Linked DNA regions of Callithrix jacchus. Each later gene encodes a partner of the first gene's protein in a complex. Links are inferred from orthologs where the notes say so. Each region holds a gene or a part of one and is shown in the gene's direction. Other genes may lie near its edges.

Region 1 (7,244 bases):
CCCAGGGATAAGGCAAGCAAAAAAACAAAACAAAACAAAACAACAACAACAACAACAAAAAAAAACAGCTGCAAAATGAGATTAAAAAAACAGCCTGTAAATCTGTCATTGAGACCTTAGGATGGTTAATAGAAAACCTGTTATCACTGCAGATGCAGTGTGGTAGGCACATAATAGGGAATCGGTAAATGTTGCATTGTTTTCTCGGTGTAGTTTTATGGCCATTATTACACTTTGTACTTTGTTTCTAAGAGGCCCAATGTTCCCAGATCATATCAGATAAACCATCTACATAGAAAATTAGAAAATTTTGTAAAATTTGCTATACCAAATCTCAGAAATGCAAACATTTTAATTTGTTTTTAATTTTTAATTAGTTACTTTTTTGCTAAAGTAAAATAATTATTTCTGTAGAAAATTAAGACTGCATAAAAAAATTGGAAAAATAGCATGGAAAAGCCATAAACCTATCGCTCAGAGTAACCACTAATATGTTCTTTCTAACTTAAAAAAAAAAACCCCGAATTTAAAGTACGGCGAATTTAAAGAATGAAACTGTATAGAAGTATATAGGGTAAAAATCGAAAAGCCCACTGCACTCCCCCTATCCTCCACTGTTCTCAAAAACGAGTTTGCTCCCACATCATCTTTTATTTATTTACATATATATGCATGCTAATCTTTTAATATAAGTAGAATCATACTATGTATATTCTTTAATATATTTTGGAGATCTTTCTGGGTCAGGGCAGATAGTTTTTTTTTTTTTTTAATGGCTACATTGCATTGTTTTAAGGATAAAGTATAATTCATTCAGCCATTCCTCTAATGATGGCTATTTAGGTTCCCCATTTTTCCCCATTACTAACAGTGCTGCAAGGAACATTTGTAAGTATTTCTGTTGACTAGATTCCTGGAAGGATTCTAGCCATGTCAAAGGCTATGGAAACATGTATTTTTTACATAGTTGAGATTGTAAAGCAGCTGTGCTCTTGGGTCACTTACAGTTATACCATAAGTAATTTCTCATGTTATTAAATATTTTTGTAACTTTTAAAATATGTGATATTCCAGTTTTTTTTAATAAAGTACTTTTCATAGAATATATTGCTCCATAAATCTTTGTCTGAGTTTCATATCATCTCCTTAGGGCACATAACTGAAATGTATTTGCTGTCAAAAGGTGTCATACATATTATCAAATTGCTTTCAGAATATAGTGGGATTTATCAAAAAGGAAATAGTTTATATCAATTGTAACTCCTCTAGTAGTGTATTAGTTTGTGAACCCTGGGTAGCACTGATTTACGGTCACTGTTTAATTTCCATTATCTTGATGGGTGAAAAATAAGGATTAGTTCTGGTTTTAACTTGCTGGAAATTGATGAAATTTGAATATTTCCAGATAACTCTCCTGTATCCTCCTATACCTATATTCTCCCATACTTAATCTGTTATCAAGTCCCACAGATTCCACTTTTTTTCAGTATGTGTGGATCATATCTTTTCTCCATTTTACTCCTGTTGCTTAGACAATTCCTTTAACATATCTTTAAGAGACTAGTTTTTTTTTTGAGACCTTTTGCATTGAAAGAGACGAGTTCTAACTAATTAATCTCAGTAGTTTCACCTCAACCCCCTTCTGTTTTAGTGCCACACTGTTGCCAGGGTGATCTGCCTGAAAGGGTTTTGGTGAAGTCACCCCACATACTCCCCAGTTTAAAAGTCTTAAAAGGTGTTTAGTGTTTGTATATGAAAGTCTTTGGGATCTGATCTATGCCTTGCCAGCCTTTTCTCTTGCTTTTCCCTCTCCTGATTGTGCTTCATCATAATATAAAAAATTTTGTTTATGGATCCCTAGACAGGTTAGTCTGTTTCATTTAACCATTTGGCCTCCAAACAATAGAACTGATCAACTGCTCCCTCCTTAATACTGTGCTTACACCTCACCCAGAGGGTCATGGCAATTATAATGTCTATTTGCATTTATGTCTTTAATAATTACATACAATCCCCCTGTAGGACCATAAGCCCTTTGTGGGCTTATTGATTCTTGTATGCTAGAGCCGAGTATTGGACTTGGCAACTACAAGATGTTTCTAAAATGAATGTGTGAATTCCCAATAATGTCTTTTTTTCATTTATCTCTGAAGCCTAAATATATCCCTGATTTTATTGATTTGCCTACATTTTTATATAAGGATATTATATAAAGAACTTATATAACTTGTGTTTTGTGTTTTAATTATTGTTTAATCTTTTGATCTAGTGAAGTTTTTTATGTTTATATATTCAGATATAGCCATCTTTTATTTGTTGACATCTCCCATTTATTTGTTGCTGTTAATTTTTTTTTTTTTTTTTGAGATGGGATTTTGCCCTGGTTGCCTAGGCTGGAGCGCAGTGGTGTGATCTTGGCTCACTGCAACCTCTGCCTCCTGGGTACAAGCAATTTTCCTGCCTCAGCCTCCTGAGTAGCCGGGATTACAGGTGCCCACCACTATGCCCAGCTAATTGTATCTTTAGTAGAGATGAGGTTTCACCACATTGACTAGGCTGGTCTCAAACTACTGACCTCAGGTGATCCACCTGCCTCGGCCTCCCAAAGTGCTGGGATTACAGATGTGAGCCACGGTGCCTGGCCAATTGCTGTTAATTTTTAATGGTATCCAACACGTAATAGGCATTGAATAAATAACTGTTAAAAAATGAATGAGTTAAAAATTTGGTGAATTCTTTTTTGTTTATACAGATGTCTTACAGCAAAGCTGTCAGCATAATTGAGTTTTCTATTAATAGTTTGCTTTTCTCTTTTACTGTATTAGCATTTTTCCATGACAGTAGTCTTCTAATTTTTTTTTTCCAGCTACACCAAAATTGTGTTGAGCCAAACTTGCCACCAAGAGCCCAACAGTCACCATGATGCTGAGCACAGAAGGCAGGGAGGGGTTCGTGGTGAAGGTCAGGGGCCTACCCTGGTCCTGCTCAGCTGATGAAGTGATGCGCTTCTTCTCTGATTGCAAGATCCAAAATGGCACATCAGGTATTCGTTTCATCTACACCAGAGAAGGAAGACCAAGTGGCGAAGCATTTGTTGAACTTGAATCTGAAGAGGAAGTGAAATTGGCTTTGAAGAAGGACAGAGAAACCATGGGACACAGATACGTTGAAGTATTCAAGTCTAACAGTGTTGAAATGGATTGGGTGTTGAAGCATACAGGTCCGAATAGCCCTGATACTGCCAACGATGGCTTCGTCCGGCTTAGAGGACTCCCATTTGGCTGTAGCAAGGAAGAGATCGTTCAGTTCTTTTCAGGGTTGGAAATTGTGCCAAATGGGATGACACTGCCAGTGGACTTTCAGGGGCGAAGCACAGGGGAAGCCTTTGTGCAGTTTGCTTCGCAGGAGATAGCTGAGAAGGCCTTAAAGAAACACAAGGAAAGAATAGGGCACAGGTACATTGAGATCTTCAAGAGTAGCCGAGCTGAAGTTCGAACCCACTATGATCCCCCTCGAAAGCTCATGGCTATGCAGCGGCCAGGTCCCTATGATAGGCCAGGGGCTGGCAGAGGGTATAATAGCATTGGCAGAGGAGCTGGGTTTGAAAGGATGAGGCGTGGTGCCTATGGTGGAGGGTATGGAGGCTATGATGACTATGGTGGCTATAATGATGGATATGGCTTTGGGTCAGATAGATTTGGAAGAGACCTCAATTACTGTTTTTCAGGAATGTCTGATCATAGATATGGAGATGGTGGGTCCAGTTTCCAGAGCACCACAGGGCACTGTGTACACATGAGGGGGTTACCTTACAGAGCCACTGAGAATGATATTTATAATTTCTTCTCACCTCTTAATCCCATGAGAGTACATATTGAAATTGGACCCGATGGCAGAGTTACTGGTGAGGCAGATGTTGAATTTGCTACTCATGAAGATGCTGTGGCAGCTATGGCAAAAGACAAGGCTAATATGCAACACAGATATGTGGAGCTCTTCCTAAATTCTACTGCAGGAACAAGTGGAGGGGCTTATGATCACAGCTATGTAGAACTGTTTTTGAATTCTACAGCAGGGGCAAGTGGTGGCGCTTATGGTAGCCAAATGATGGGAGGGATGGGCTTATCCAACCAGTCTAGTTATGGCGGTCCTGCTAGCCAGCAGCTGAGTGGTGGTTATGGAGGTGGTTATGGTGGTCAGAGCAGTATGAGTGGATATGACCAAGTTCTCCAGGAAAACTCCAGTGACTATCAGTCAAACCTTGCTTAGGTAGAGAAGGAGCACTAAACAGCTACTCTAGATATAAAAGCTGTACATTTATGGGAGTTGAATAGAATGGGAGGGATGTCTAGTATATCCAGTATGATTGGCATATGGGAAATATTATTGATACTGATCACTCTTGGTCAGCTTCTCTTTCTTTATCTTTCTCCTTTTTTAAGAAAACAAAAGTTAAGTTTAACAGTTTTGCATTACAGGCTTGTGATTCATGCTTACTGTAAAGTGGGAGTTGAGATTATTTTGAAACTTCAAGTTCAGTAATTTTGAACACTGAAACATTCATCTAGGACATAATAACAAAGTTCAGTATTGACCATAACTGTTTAAACGATTTTTAGCTTTTCTCAAGTTAGTTATGTTGTAGGAGTGTACTTAAGCAGTAAGCTTATTTAGGTTAATGCAGTTTCACTTATGTTAAATGTTGCTCTTATACCACAAATACATTGAAAACTTTGGATGCATGTTGAGAAACATGCTTTTCTGTAAAACTCAAATATAGGAGCTGTGTCTACGATTCAAAGTGAAAACATTTGGCATGTTTGTTAATTCTAGCTTTTTGGTTTAATACTCTGTAAGGCACGTGAGTGTACACTTTTACTTTTTTTTTTTTTAAAGGATACGGGACAATTTTAAGATGTAATACCAATACTTTAGAAGTTTGGTCGTGTCGTTTGTATGAGATTCTGAGGCTTTGGTTTAAATCTTTCCTTGTATTGTGATTTCCATTTAGATGTATTGTACTAAGTGAAACTTGTTAAATAAATCTTCCTTTTAAAAACTGGAAAAAATCTTGCTCTGATTTTTATTATGTTCTGTCATATGGGCACACTGATTTTATAATTCCCTCTTAAAAATTTTAATTTAAAAATTATATTTACATCTTTATATGTTCATTGTTGCATATATCATTAGTTATTTCTAAGATACATCCCTAGAAATGGGATTGCTGAGTCAAGGATATACCCATTTTTAAGGCTTGTGATTTGTGTTACCAGAAAGATTCTGGTACTTTATCTTTCTACCTAGAGGACTGTGTGTTTTATTTTTCCCCCTCATACCCTCCTTATTGATGTACGTTAGTTTTTTTGATCTTTGCCAGTTTGTTAGTTGAGAAATGATATCTTTGCTATTTTAATTTGTATTTCTTTGATTAATATTAAAGTTGAACATTTTCTTTAAAAAAAACTTATTACCATGTCTACAGGACTGTTGAACTACTTTTGGAGACTGTTCTTACCAATATAGTATTCTCTAAAATCCAAAGAAGTGAAAGCAAATAAATAATCCTTTTTATTTCACCACAAACTAGAAGGCACCTTTGTATGTTAAAAAAGAAGTAGGCTTACAATTATTATGTGTTGAAAACAAAACATAAAAATGAAGCAGGCTTATGTTATGGCAATAAATTATCTCTTCCATGAATTTATTAGTAGAGTCTCTAAACACTCCCAGGTGTTTTTTAGGGCATCTAAAGCTTATCTTAAACCAGTGGTTCTCAAAGTTTCATGTGCATCAGAATCATCTGCAGGGCTTACTTAAACATTCATTTATAGGCTGCATCCCTAGAGTTTCCAGTTCAGTAGTTTTGGGATGTTGCTTGAGAATGTGCTGATGCTGCTGGTCTCAAGACCATGTTTTGAGACCCATCACAGTTCCCCAAACAGCAACTTTAAGGAGCAGCTTCCTTTATGATCCCTGATTTCCTCCCCTTTGTTCCTGTAACAAGTAGTTTAAATTTTCTATTAAAGTCTCAATCACGTATTTACAATGCCTCAGACCTCCCAGGATTCTGAGAACCCGTGGTATCATGCTGATATCTTAGATTTCTGTCTGAACCACAGTGGTTATTAACAATTCCACACCTCAGTGACCTTCAGGTCCTGATGTCCCTCTGATCAGTACCAGCTGTACCTTGAACTACAGATCTCTTTGTAGATTTGACCACTTGGGAACTGGATTGCTCTATGTGGGCTGTTTACGGCTTGAGGGCCAGAGAAATGAGATGGGAGGCAAATACCAAGTTGGTATTACCCGACTCCGTTTCATTCAGGAAATGAAAATCAATTCCAAAAACTCATTCAAGCCAAAGGTGCAGTGGGACATGATTTGAGATTCTTTGCTGACTTCTAATTTTTATCACAGCTCTCAGGAGAGCAAGAAATCCATTTTGACTCCTATCGTGTTGAGTCAGTCCTTGTCCTTCAGGAAGCCTTTCTTGGAGGGTAAACAAGTAGGTGTTTTTTGCCTTTCCAGGCTACTCAGTTAATTTTCTAGAAGTTTCTCTGGATCTGGGCAAAGATTCTCAAGTTAGCCACTAGATGGCACCAAATCTCAGGAAACAATAGACGGCTCCTGTGGTCTTAGATGTTGGCTTACTTCGCTGGATAAGAAAACTCAGAAGGTCTCTGAGGAGCAAATGAGAGAACCTGGAGAAGGTCAGTGGTCAGCAATAGAGGTATGCAAAGGGACAGCAGTACAGCTGGTGTGCACATGCGTGTACACACCACCACTTGTGCTCCAACATGCAAATCTAACACTATCCAGGAAAGTTTGCTGGGAGTAGAGCGGGCAGCCCACCAACAACACCCCAAAACACTGAGTCGGGGATTTATTTTCATCTGCGTTTGTCACCCACTTGGCACGATTAGGCAGAAAATTTGCATCCACAATTATCGTGGCCTAAGAGTATCGGATGGCTTCTGCTAGTGGTTCTCAGGGTGTGGTTCCTGGATCAGTAACAGCATGAACCTACACCTCATGCAATACGCAGATTCTTTTTGCGCACCCCCCTGCCCCCTTTCCCCCAACGAGTGAATCAGAAACTGTGGGGGTGGAGCCCAGCAAACTGTATTTTGCTTTTTGTGTTTTTCTGAGACAGGATCTTGCTCTGTTCCCCAGGCTGGAGGGCAGTGGTGTGATCTCGGCTCAGTGCAGCCTTGAAATCCAGGCTCAAGTGATCCTCC
Region 2 (4,269 bases), on another chromosome or scaffold:
TTCCTGTGCATGTGCTCTTAACTGTAAGTGCCAAGGAAAACTGATTTAAGTCACAGCCCTTGTAAGGGGCAACGTTTCTTGTCTGCACTGAATCAAGTCTAACCCCAACAGCCACATCCTCCTCATATAGGAAGACATCTCATCTCAGGAAGTGGTGGTGGGGGTAGTCAGAAGGAAAAATAACTGGACATCTTTGTGTAAACCATAACCCACGTGCTGTGAATGATCTTTACTCCTTATCTGAGGGCAGATTCACAAGGATTCCCCCAAGATTCACTTTTAGGAGCCATTCTCATCCCAGCAGTAAGAAGCTTCCAGGTAGGATAGAAAGAAGACCCAGTTTCACGCCTCTGTTCCTTTGGATGGGGAACTGAGGGAAAATATCTGTTGTATCACTGAAATGTTTTGTTTTTATACATGTCTGAATAAAAATGCCAAAGTTTTTTTCAGCTTCCTGTCTGTCAAATGAAAACATTTCATATGTTAGATAGATCTCCTCAGCAGAGGACAGTCACCTTTCTGTCTTCTGACAATGCTACTCCGTCCCATGCAGCTTTCTCTAGTCCTATTATTACTTGTATTTCTTTAGAACAAGCATAGCTTATAGTCCTTTGGGGTTTTAGTAGGAATCTACAAAGCAAAAACAATTGAGAATAACAAAAACAAATAACCCACGTGCTTGGGGACTTATAAAAAGCACTATATACGTGTCCGGTCTCCTTCAGAGGCCAAATACTGAAACCTCTACGTGTTTCTGAATTCATTCTTAGAAAAGTCACCAAATCTTTTTATTTTGTTTTTTCACAGTAAGCGCTCTCAACAAACATCTGTCTTTCTGAACACTTCCCTTAAGTGCTCCATCCAGCCTGTTATTGGAACAATGTCATGTTACTTCTTTAAGGAGTCCAGCCTCTAGATTGGGAGGCCTTTAAATGGATGATCCCTCCGGATTCTGGCTGCCCAGTTAGCCCCTGCTCCCAGCACCCTAGGTCTTCTTCCATCTGTCTGCCTCTCCCTATTCTCCCAGCTTCGCAGGACTACTGGACCGGCTGGGCGGGTTTCGCCAGCCGATCGAGGGATCCAAGGAAGGGCGCACCCCGCTTCCCCGCCCTAGGTGTAGACACTGCCCACCCGCCCCGGCTCCACCCTTGCCTCTAAACCTATTTCCCCGCCGTAGCTCCGCCCCTCTCCCCTCGGCCCGCCCCTCTCTGTTACGGGCTCTCGCTCAGAGTTCTCGGTGGAAGTGGTTTTTCCGGGAGAGACCACGCTTCCCCGCAAGCTCCCCAACGGCTCCGCCTTCCCGCCGGAGCCTGACCCTTCCCAGCGTGCCCGGCAATTCCGGCGTGCGAGGCCCTTGGAGGGCAAGGCCCCTGGGCCTGGCTTAGGAGGGCGAGAGGCAGGCTGGGAATTGTAGTTCTCAAGCCCCCGAGGGCGGCTAGAGGCTGGCGGTGAAGAGGACTAGTTGTCCCAGCGTGCCCTGCGCCTCAGCCCGCGCGCTCGCAGCTTCTCGCTCTCGCCAGCTTGCCCGCTCCCTTGCTTGCTCGCGCTTTCGCTCGCCCTCTCCTCGAGGATCTAGGGGACTCTGACCACAGCCTGAGGCTGGGAACGGGGACAGAGGCGGCGGCTCAGGGGAAACCAGGCTGCAGTGGTGGTGGTAGGAAGATGTCGGGCGAGGACGAGCAGCAGGAGCAAACTATCGCCGAGGACCTGGTCGTGACCAAGTATAAGATGGGGGGCGACATCGCCAACCGTGAGTGCGGCCTCAGGGGTCGGGGAATCAAAGCTGACAGGGAAAGGTGCCAGGCTGGCCCCAAAGGGGCTGGAGAGGAGGGGTCATGCGGAGTGAGCTACCGAGGGGTCCGCACCGGTTCTCTGGGGGCGGCGTGGTGGAAAGACCGGGTGTAGCGCCTGGGACCTGAGTGGCCAGGCCCAGGCTGAAGTCTGTGGACGTGTGGGCCGGCGACTGGGATGAGCGCAGAGAGGGACCCCTGGCAGGCTCCGACCCGAGGCCGTTTGTTAGGAGGCAAGACAGGTTTTCTCCTGTTCCAATCCTTCAGTCCCGATTTCTGCTTCATCTGATTCTGGCAGCGGCGAGGCCACCTCGAAAAGGAAGCGCCCAGCTATTGGCGACAGAAGCCCCCCTCTTGTTTTGTCGATTCTCTGGGGCTTCAGGAGCCGAGCCTCTCGCACGTGTTGCTGGGTCCCCTTGCGGATGGCTGGCCCCCTTCTTCCTCCACTACTGTCCCTGACACCAGCTTCCTTGCCACGTGCTTTGCTGGAGCCTTTCCTTTACTTCAGCTCTTACCCTGGTGGGGGCCCCCTTCTACCCTTGGACCAGCTAAGGGATCCGTTGGAGGGCACTCCGGGAGCTTCTAACCAAAGTCTTGGAGATATATATGGCTTTTCTTGAAGTTACTCATTACTACCACCTTTCCAATCTGTGCAGATAGCCTTAGTTAGCATTCACATTTGTTGTTCTCAGTGACTTGACAACTCAAATGTTTTGGAGTCCCCGTCTTATCCCAACTAGGCAAGCTTGCAAACAGTACTGGAAAAGAGAGGACTGATTTTAGGATTGTCACAAGTCATCTTTATTCAAGCTGTGCTCTGACGATCTCAGCAGTAGCCTGTCACTGTAGGCAGATGTCACTTTCTCTTTTCTCTCTTTCCAATTCGCCTTTCCATTTTACTTAAAACTCAGGGAGATAGAAACTGCTTGTCCGTGGGCTTTTAAATGTTTTTTGGGGTGTGTGTGTGTGTGTGGTTTTTTGGTTTTTGTTGTTGTTGTTTTTTGAGACAGAGTTTCACTCTTGTTGCCCAGGCTGGAGTGCAATGGCGCAGTCTTGGCTCACTGCAACCTCCGCCTCCTGGGTTCAAGCGATTCTCCTGCCTTAGCCTCACAACAGCTGGGATTACTGGAGCATGTCCTTATGCCTAGCTTGTTTTTTGTATTTTTAGTGGAGACCGGGTTTCACCATGTTGGCCAGGCCGGTCTTGAACTCCTGACCTCAGGTATCCGCACACGTTGGCCTCCCAAAGTGCCTGGACTGCAGGTGTGAGCCACTGTGCCCAGCTTTTAAATGGTTTTAACAGCAAAGATGGTGGGGAAGCGGTATTTAGGATGCCTCCGGTCCTGTGGGTGAAAATCTGAGTTTTTACCAGCTTTCAAAGAATCACCAAAACTGAGATTTCAAAAATCAAACCTGTGCACAGTGGACATTTAGTATAGTACCCTGGTTTTTGGTGCCTGTTAGTATTTGAGATAGTAGTTTGAATCAGAAAGTCTCTTTTTTGCAGTTTATAACTTCAGGCCATTGTGATCTCAGATATAAATTTTGTAAATTTGGCCTCACATCTCTTTGAGATAAGCCATGATCCCCTGAAATGAAACCCAGGGACCTTAGGTTAAGCCCCTTTGGCTTATACTCTTGTTTATGAGGAAATAAGTCTACATAGGTTGAGATTCCTAACACCTAATTAGAATGTCTGAGAAAGGAAGGCGGTAACATTTAATAATGCATCAGCTTCGAGTCTGCAATTCTGTCTACCTTCTTGTTGTCCCTGATGCCTATAAATTTCATCTTGTCTTTGCGTGTATGTGGGCATACCTTGGCAAGAACCCTCTAAAGTTCATAACTCTGTCCTGTCACACCAAAGGTAGCATCTTTGGAAAGTCCAAGGCCTTGCCTAGGAAGATGGATTGTATATACCCACTTGTAACGTAATAAGGAAGGGAAGGGAATGTTGTCCTTTCAGCCTCGGGGCAGTAGCACTAGAGAGTATTACAGACTCCTAAGTCCAGCTTCCAGGTATTCCTTGGGTGGTAACTAGACAATAAATACATACAAGGCTGACATGATGGCATTCTGTCCTCAGGGGTACTTCGGTCCTTGGTGGAAGCATCTAGCTCAGGTGTGTCGGTACTGAGCCTGTGTGAGAAAGGTGATGCCATGATTATGGAAGAAACAGGGAAAATCTTCAAAAAAGAAAAGGAAATGAAGAAAGGTAAAAAAAAAAAAAAAAACCTCACTAATTTCCCATTTGACCCTTATTTAGTTCTATATGTTTTATTTTTTTCATTGTAATGATGCAGTCTCCACTCCAGCTCTGGTTGAGATATTTGAAAATTTGGAATGGCAAATGGGATACAAGCAGTTTTCTTCCTAATCCAAACTGATCAAAGCTTAAGCAAGTCCCTGAAAATATCCTTACACTTTTCTGAAGGGCAACAGGGCTCCCAGGAGAAAGCAAGGCAGTAGGCTGATGATT
Region 3 (4,019 bases), on another chromosome or scaffold:
AATATGGGTGGGTAAGACAGGAGTGTCTGGTCACACCCCTCCACCACCCATGAGCATGGTTGTGGGCAGTTTGGTTCCCCAGGTGGCCTTGGGGAATGCAGTGAGCCAAGGACTGGTCATCTTCAGATGCATCCAGGGCAGGAAAGGCTGACAGCATGCATGAGCCAGGGTCACTGGCTAAGAAGTCATCTTAGGACCTCCTGAAAAAAAGAACTGGGCATGAACATCCCTGCTGGTTTCCCCACACTGCAAGGTTAAGCGGAGCTGGCAGAGGGTCATGGTCCCACATGTGTCTCACGTCTGGTGCTCTGAACTTGGCAAGGAAATGCAACCCATGCGAATCTCAACAGGCAGTGAAGCCACGTTCCTTTCTGACTCCAGGTAGGATGGAGACAATGGGACAGCAGTACGGGGCCATAACCGCACAACTCCGCTTCCCCAGACGGAGAGCTTGTGGGATGTGAGGATGCCAGGAGGAGGTGAGGAAGGGCGGCCTCCTGTGGGACCTGCAGGGTGGGACAGGCCCAAGAGGTCTGTACATCCAGGCCTGGTTGGGGAGGTGAGCCCCTGGTTTACCGAGGGGGTCCCTTCCTGCCCTCGGAAATAATGCAGCCCCTACCTCCACCCCCGCCCCGCTGCGGGGTCCCAGGGGCGGTGAGGGTGGGAGAGTCCCCAGGCTCCAGTCAGACGACTGCATTCAAGCAAGTGAGAACCTCTGTGAGCCTGTTTCGCAACTGTAAAATGGGGATCGCAGCAGTACTCTTCCTCGCGGTTTGCATGAAGAACACAATTCGATGTCGACAGGCGGGCGCGGCGCCCAGCGCGCAGAGTAGCAGGCGCTGAAGAAGGATACTGGTGAACTGGGGGTGGTGATGGAGGCTACGCGGCCGGAGTCCCGGGACTGGGCGCCAGCCATGCCAGTCCCTGCTCGGGGCTGGATGGTCGGGGGAATGTTCTCGTAAGTCAGCTGGGAAGGGGCGGCCCGGCGTACCCTGAGGCCGCCGCCGCAGAGAGTCGAGCAGGTGCCGGGGCCTCTGCCCCTCCGAGAGGGGGCCGGTCATCCGCCGGGACTGACACCCCGGAGGCCCAATGGCAAGCCGTCATCTTTGCGCACCCGTCCAATCGGCGCCTATTGCCGTGCCGCGCCGGGTCTCTCGACCAATGGGAAAATTTGCGGTTGGATGGGGCGGGGCGAAGATCCGTGTCGCCGGCCCGGTTCGCTTTGCACACGGGCCGCGTGAGGGCGGGAGGGCTGGCCCGGGGTCTCGGCCTGCGCTCTGGGCCCGGAGGGAGGGGGCGGCCCCGCACCGGTTCCCGCACCTGCCCGAGTTGCGGCCTCGGGGACGGTGACCCGCGCCGTGCCTGGGAACGCCGCTCCCTTCGCGCTGAGGGACCCGGGGACGCCCGTCTGGGGACTGGGGCCGCGCTGCGGAGCCGCCCACGCTGCGCTCCAGGTAAGCTCGAGCCAGTGGGCGGGGTGCCGGGCTCGAGGCTGGGACCGCAGGTCAGAGCCCGGACTGGGGGCGGGGCCGTAGATCTGGGCCGCGTTCCCGGCAGCGGTCCGGACTGGGTCCTGTCCCCGGAGTCGAGATCCGGGCGAGGATCTGGGCCCGGCGTTGGAGCCCGTCTCCGCCCCATCCGCGTCTTGCCCGAGCGCGCTGCGGCGCCTGAGACCCCGGGCCGGCGGAGGCGGGTCCCTTTGTGCGCGGCCTCGGGGCCCTACGGGACCCGGCCCGGCGCCTCGCACCGCGCGCCTCAGCTGAACGCGGCCCGACACCGCAGCCTTGTCAGCCCGGCGCGACGCCTGGCACCTAGCTGCCAGGGCTCCGCAGCCACGGAAACTTTCCAACGGCCCGAGGGGCGGCAGGCCGGGAACTTTCCTGGGGCAGCGGGACGCCGGGAAGCGCAGAGGCACCGACGGCCTGGAGGGATGTCCCTGCACCGCGCTGCTCCCGCCGCCTAGGGGGCGAGCTAGGACACGCCACCCGGATCCCCGGCCTGGGTCCCCTTCCCCACGTCGCCCTGCGCCCCCTCGGGGCCCGTGCAGAGACAAGTCTTCTCTATTCTGATGGATCCTCAATTCAGTTTGCTCTAGAGTCGCCCTGGGCAGGTCGCCTGAGATCTCCAGCCTTTCATTTTAAATTTTAAATAATTAAATATTGTTTGCTTACAATATTTCACTGTTTCTTAGCTATGTGTAACGTAACGTACTGAAAATGGAACTAAGGGACTTCAGCTCCCTTTCTCTGCACATCCAGGCATATTTAGAAATAAGGAAAAGAAAGATGCCCTGTGGGTATGTTTTAGAGTAGGCTCTTAACGCTGTGTCTGATAACCTCAAGCGGGTACCCAGGCTGTTGTGGGGAAACCTCCACCTCTCCCGACCCCAGCTTTTCTGGGGTAGCTGCCTTTCCTTCTTCCCACTTCATTACTACTGCCTTATTTGTCTTTACTCTGGGGTCCAAGCTGTGGTTAGAGGTCCGGTCCAAACAGGACGGGTGCTACCTGTCTTGTACTCACTGTGTTGGAGCTGGGATGGTGCTGAATGCAGGGGGCAGTCAGTGCTCTCTTGCCCAGTGTGCCATGTCAGTAGTTGGTTAGTTCCTGAGCAGGTGATCCTGGCCCTAGGTCAGGCCACAGTGTGAGCCATGGTGTGTCTGGGAAGGCCTACACTTTACTCCCAATCTTGCTTCATCCTGTCCACAGTGTCTGCTCCTGCTGTCCCCTGACCTCACCCCACTCTCATTCTGGGGTCCACTAGGGCCCAGTAGAGGACTGGGCATAGAACATTCGCTGAGGAACTCAAGTCCCAGCTGAGAGGGTCGTTGAGCACAGCCAAGCCAGCCCCTGCCCAGCTCTTGGCCAAGCTGCCCTGTCAGGCTTTTCTGCATAAACATGAGGAACTCCTGACCAAGGTCCCTCCTGGGTGAACAAGGTCAGGCCATCAGCCCTCCTAAATTCGAGCTTCCCCCACCACATCTGGGCTGCTTGGCTCCCATGTTCGCTCTGGCACCCCCTCCAGAGGTGGCCTTGCAGTCTCCTCCCAGTCCCAGGGGCCTCTCTGCATCTCTGTGGCTCTGTGGGGGTAGGTAGGGTAGCATCCCTCTTCCTGTTTATGCTACACAGGGTGAATTCACTGTGTTCCTTCACCCCAGGAGTCTGGCCTGAGGTAGCATGAGGCTGTCCTGAGTGAGGACAGGAGGAGCAGGGGCAGCAGGATCCCCAGTCTCTGTGCATGGATGCCAGGCACCACCCTCTGTCTACCCCATCTGTTGTGTTCCCCGCCTGGCCCTGGCAGAGGGAGGGACAGGGTAGAGCTGGGATAGGGAGTCAGGGCCCACTCTGTAGATAGGGCTGGGAATGGAGGGTGGGGGTCCCGGCACAGCTCTGCACTGCAGGGCACTAGGTGGGCCTCAGGGGTGTTGGGGACTTCCCTAACGGTGGCTTAGTCAGGCAAAGCATCTGTTATTTTGCCACCAGCTTTCAATCAAGATCAGTGAGGCTGGGTGCAGTGGCTCACACTTGTAATCCCAGCACTTTGGGAGGCCAAGGAGGGTGGATCATCTGAGGTCTGGAGTTTGACACTACCCTGGCCAACATGGCAAAACCCCGTCTCTACTAAAAATACAAAACTTAGCTGGGTGTGGTGGCACATGCCTGTAACCCTAGCTACTCAGGAGACCGAGGCAGGAGAACTGATTGAACTGTGGAGACGGGGTTGCAGTGAACTGAGATTGCACCACTACACTCCCACCTGGGCAATAGAGTGAGACTCTGTCTCAATAAAACAAACCAGGATGGGCCGGTCGTAGTGTCTCACACCTGTCATCCCAGCACTTTGGGAGACCTAGGCGGGCAGATCACCTGAGGTCAGTACTTTGAGACCAGCCTGACCAACATGGTGAAACCCTGTTTCTACTAAAAATAAAAAAAAAATTAGCTGGGCCTGGTGGTGCATGCCTGTAATCCCAGCTACTGGGGAGACTGAGGCAGGAGAATCACCTGAACCCAGGAGACAG
Region 4 (4,151 bases), on another chromosome or scaffold:
GGATTACAGGCACGTGCCACCATGCCCAGCTCATTTTTTGTATTTTTTAGTAGAGACGGGGTTTCACCATGTTGACTAGGATGGTCTCGATCTCTTGACCTCGTGATCCACCCGCCTCGGCCTCCCAAAGTGCTGGGATTACAGGCGTGAGCCACCGCGATTGGTTTTCACCATGTTGGCCAAGCTGGTCTTGAACTACTGACCTCAATGTGACCCGCCCATCAAAGTGCTGGCGTGAGCTACCACGCCCAGCCTGATTTTAATTTGAATTCATTACCTTAAAAATCCCTGGATTTAACATAAAAAATCTAGATTTTAGACGTCGGAAAAAAATGTAAAATATTATCTCCCAAGACTGCAGGCAAGTAGATCACAGTCCTGAGTAGCAACCGCGGTCTCTAGTGGTTACGGTTCTCACATCCATTTCGCTCCATTTTATTACCTGAGAGGACTGGTAGTTTCAAAACCTGGTATATCAGTAACTTTTAGGGAAAACTGCACACACGCACCCCTTCTTCCTTCTCTTTATTTGAAAGGAAACAACGGAAACAAATTTGCAAATCTTTTGCGCCAGTCCCACGGATAGGCGACTAACAAGAGATACAGAGGTGTGGGTCCCAGAGGCGGTACGGTGTTTTCACCCCTTCCGGATAGCTAGTACGACCTACCCACCGCGACTAAGCACAAGGAGTGCTGAACTAAGCTATGCAAAGTTCTGACCAGAAGGTGGAACGGTACTTAGTGAAGAGGATTTATTTAGGAATCGAAATCGGTTTTGCTAAATTAGACAAATCTCATTGTCTAAGGAGCCACGCCCTGTTCGCAGGAGGAGAGGGAAGACAAACCAACGCCCCAGCTCTCCAATGGCACCTCAGCTCTGAACTAGACGCACTCTACAAGGATGCCTGGGTTTCCGGAGCAACCGCCCGGTCCCTCCCCCTTTGGCCCCGCCCCCGAGACTCCTTCCCGCCAAAGGCCGTTATCGCCGCAGAGCATGGTGGGACAAGGCTCTAGGCTAGGTTTCACCAAGTCCTTTCAAGGCGCCGAGTTGCTTTCAGAGATCCTCATTCCTGGGGAAACTGACTGTCCTTCAAGACCCGACCTGGAAGACTAGCTCCTTTAGAGAGAGTTCTTTATTTAACTTTTACCAAACGGCCACTCTATTCGCAAACCACCCCAAGCCGGGAACGCGGGGGACTTTTTTTCCCCCTTCGTGCGGAGGGTGACGTCGCGCGTGCGTGCGCGCGCGTACGTTGAACGTAGTCTTCGCAGCGCGTGCGTGTTGGGATCGAATCGCTGTTTCCTTCCGCTTCTCTTCCTCTGTCTCCCCCCCCCCCCATATCCGTGCGCCGAACTGATAAAGGCGCCATTTTGGAGGGGCCGCGGGAGACGTGGTGCCGCTGCGGGCTTGCTCTGCCGTGCGCTAGGCTTGGTGGGAAGGCCCGTTCTCGAGTCCACGTTTTTCGTCGCCGCCATGTCGGGAGGTGGTGTGATTCGTGGCCCCGCAGGGAACAACGATTGCCGCATTTACGTGGGTAACTTACCTCCAGACATCCGAACCAAGGACATTGAGGACGTGTTCTACAAATACGGCGCTATCCGCGACATCGATCTCAAGAATCGCCGCGGGGGACCGCCCTTCGCCTTCGTTGAGTTCGAGGACCCGCGGTGAGGCGGCATGGGGCTTGCAGCCTTGAGGAAATAGGTCCGAGTGGTCGGGGAAGACTCCAAGGCCTTAATATAGAGAACGGGAAGGCGGGGGCTCTTAGAGAGGATGGGGCGAGACTGTATCGCCCATGCAGGAGTCGAGTGAGGAGCTGAGTTGGTGTGGCTTCTCTGGCGCCTCGCCTTGGACGTCCCCGGAGCCCATTCGCAGGCTGGAGCGGGAAACTGAGGCGCTGAGGGCTGGTGTAGTGGCTGGGAGCCTGGCGTGTTTCTGGGTGGGGGAGGGGTCATTCCCATTATGCGGCGCATGTGGGCTCTTCCACGTTGGGTGCGCATGTGCGGGGGGTTCGCTGGTTCCCGACTGAGCGATCTTCTCCTCCTGGTCTTTCTCATGCCTTTTACTGTCTACGATCCCGCAGGGACGCGGAAGACGCGGTGTATGGTCGCGACGGCTATGATTACGATGGATATCGTCTGCGGGTGGAGTTTCCTCGAAGCGGCCGTGGAACAGGCCGAGGAGGCGGCGGGGGTGGAGGTGGCGGAGCTCCCCGAGGTCGCTATGGCCCCCCATCCAGGCGGTCTGAAAACAGAGTGGTTGTCTCTGGTAAGTCTACCGGTTGTGTGGTTGATGTGAAGGGACGGAAACTACTTAAAAATTTTCTCTTGCGTGACCGGTTTAACAATTGCAAATTTTTCATGCTAGGTCTTAAATTGCTTTAGTTTTTGGGTGAATTTAATAAACGAGGATTGCTGCTGTGGTGATTTACCAAATTAGGTTGCGGTACTAGATACGAAGATCCGTTACAAATAATTTTGGACTCTGGATTCCAGAATCTTACCAGCTCTTTACCTGGTATCACTTAAGTACAACTATTAAGTATTTTAAAGTACTCTTTGTCCTAATGTACCTTATCAGCTTAACGTGAAATTTAAGATAATTGATACTAAGAAAAAAAATCGCTTTTTCAGGACTGCCTCCAAGTGGAAGTTGGCAGGATTTAAAGGATCACATGCGTGAAGCAGGTGATGTATGTTATGCTGATGTTTACCGAGATGGCACTGGTGTCGTGGAGTTTGTACGGAAAGAAGATATGACCTATGCAGTTCGAAAACTGGATAACACTAAGTTTAGATCCCATGAGGTAGGTTATATGCTTATTCTTTTTTTTGACCAGAATTGGATACAGTGGTCTTAACAGTGGAATTTGAAGGTAAGGATTCAGGCAAGGGTGTCCAAGTAAATTGCCAGATTTCTGGTTTTAGTTACATTGTATTCATTCAGCATGCCTGAAGCTAGGTGAAAGCTTAGATCTTTCAATGGAAAGTTCTGTCTATCCAATAGGGAGAAACTGCCTACATCCGGGTTAAAGTTGATGGGCCCAGAAGTCCAAGTTATGGAAGATCTCGATCTCGAAGCCGTAGTCGTAGCAGAAGCCGTAGCAGAAGCAACAGCAGGAGTCGCAGTTACTCCCCAAGGAGAAGCAGAGGATCACCACGCTATTCTCCCCGTCATAGCAGATCTCGCTCTCGTACATAAGATGATTGGTGACACTTTTTGTAGAACCCATGTTGTATACAGTTTTCCTTTATTCAGTACAATCTTTTCATTTTTTAATTCAAACTGTTTTGTTCAGAATGGGCTAAAGTGTTGAATTGCATTCTTGTAATATCCCTTTGCTCCTAACATCTACATTCCCCTCGTGTCTTCGATAAATTGTATTTTAAGTGATGTCATAGACAGGATTGTTTAAATTTAGTTAACTCCATACTCTTCAGACTGTGATATTGTGTAAATGTCTATTTTGCCCTGATTTGTGTGAACTGGGATGTTGGGGATGTTTATGGTTATCTTACCTGGGGAAGTTCTTATGTTTATCTTGCTTTTCATGTGTCTTTCTGTAGACATATCTGAAGAGATGGATTAAGAATGCTTTGGATTAAGGATTGTGGAGCACATTTCAATCATTTTAGGATTGTCAAAAGGAGGATTGAGGAGGATCAGATCAATAATGGAGGCAATGGTATGACTCCAAGTGCTATTGTCACAGATGAAATTGGCAGTATTGACCTTATACTAAAAGGCAGGGGGGTAAAAATGATTATATACATTTTCCTTAAAACACTTGAATGTTTTATTCAGTTACCTTTAGCTACAATTGCTTTACCTTTTAAACCTTGGCAATTGTGGCAAAATTATGTTGCCCATTTTGTAGCAACTTATTTTGCTCCCTTCCCCCCATTTTTGTTATAATAGGGACTAATGTGGGAAGAACTGGCTAATTTGTCGCAGTGCTTAGTTACAACTGTTAATGTGTGACCTGCTGTTGGTGTACATGTGGGTAGAGGGTGTCTTTAAATCCAACAAGATAGAGTATAATATCAATACTGCTAAATCTGCATGTCCTCTGTGTGACTGATAGAGCGTTGCTATTTCATTTTTTTAAGACAAAATGAAAGCAAAATAATAGAGTTCCAATGTATTGGTG

The links.
Region 2: HNRNPH2 (region 1) and PA2G4 share a complex: the UniProt entries of both Homo sapiens proteins name them as parts of the ribonucleoprotein complex. The link is inferred for Callithrix jacchus from reciprocal best matches to the Homo sapiens genes HNRNPH2 and PA2G4.
Region 3: HNRNPH2 (region 1) and ARVCF share a complex: the UniProt entries of both Homo sapiens proteins name them as parts of the ribonucleoprotein complex. The link is inferred for Callithrix jacchus from reciprocal best matches to the Homo sapiens genes HNRNPH2 and ARVCF.
Region 4: HNRNPH2 (region 1) and SRSF1 share a complex: the UniProt entries of both Homo sapiens proteins name them as parts of the ribonucleoprotein complex. The link is inferred for Callithrix jacchus from reciprocal best matches to the Homo sapiens genes HNRNPH2 and SRSF1.

What each region holds. Positions count from the first base shown.
Region 1 is NC_133524.1:97,710,676-97,717,919, forward strand, and holds the end of HNRNPH2 (heterogeneous nuclear ribonucleoprotein H2), read left to right. Parts: intron 1-2,866; 5' UTR 2,867-2,919; coding exon 2,920-4,269; 3' UTR 4,270-5,069; downstream 5,070-7,244. UniProt on the Homo sapiens protein: This protein is a component of the heterogeneous nuclear ribonucleoprotein (hnRNP) complexes which provide the substrate for the processing events that pre-mRNAs undergo before becoming functional, translatable mRNAs in the cytoplasm. Binds poly(RG).
Region 2 is NC_133510.1:63,563,934-63,568,202, reverse strand, and holds the start of PA2G4 (proliferation-associated protein 2G4), read left to right. Parts: upstream 1-1,469; 5' UTR 1,470-1,662; coding exon 1,663-1,750; intron 1,751-3,876; coding exon 3,877-4,005; intron 4,006-4,269. UniProt on the Homo sapiens protein: May play a role in a ERBB3-regulated signal transduction pathway. Seems be involved in growth regulation. Acts a corepressor of the androgen receptor (AR) and is regulated by the ERBB3 ligand neuregulin-1/heregulin (HRG).
Region 3 is NC_133502.1:211,798,184-211,802,202, reverse strand, and holds the start of ARVCF (splicing regulator ARVCF), read left to right. Parts: upstream 1-1,219; 5' UTR 1,220-1,454; intron 1,455-4,019. UniProt on the Homo sapiens protein: Contributes to the regulation of alternative splicing of pre-mRNAs.
Region 4 is NC_133506.1:108,329,410-108,333,560, forward strand, and holds the start of SRSF1 (serine/arginine-rich splicing factor 1), read left to right. Parts: upstream 1-1,351; 5' UTR 1,352-1,474; coding exon 1,475-1,668; exon of another isoform or gene 1,669-2,084; coding exon 2,085-2,269; exon of another isoform or gene 2,270-2,634; coding exon 2,635-2,807; exon of another isoform or gene 2,808-3,007; coding exon 3,008-3,194; exon of another isoform or gene 3,195-3,567; coding exon 3,568-3,590; coding exon of another isoform or gene 3,591-3,606; 3' UTR 3,607-4,151. UniProt on the Homo sapiens protein: Plays a role in preventing exon skipping, ensuring the accuracy of splicing and regulating alternative splicing.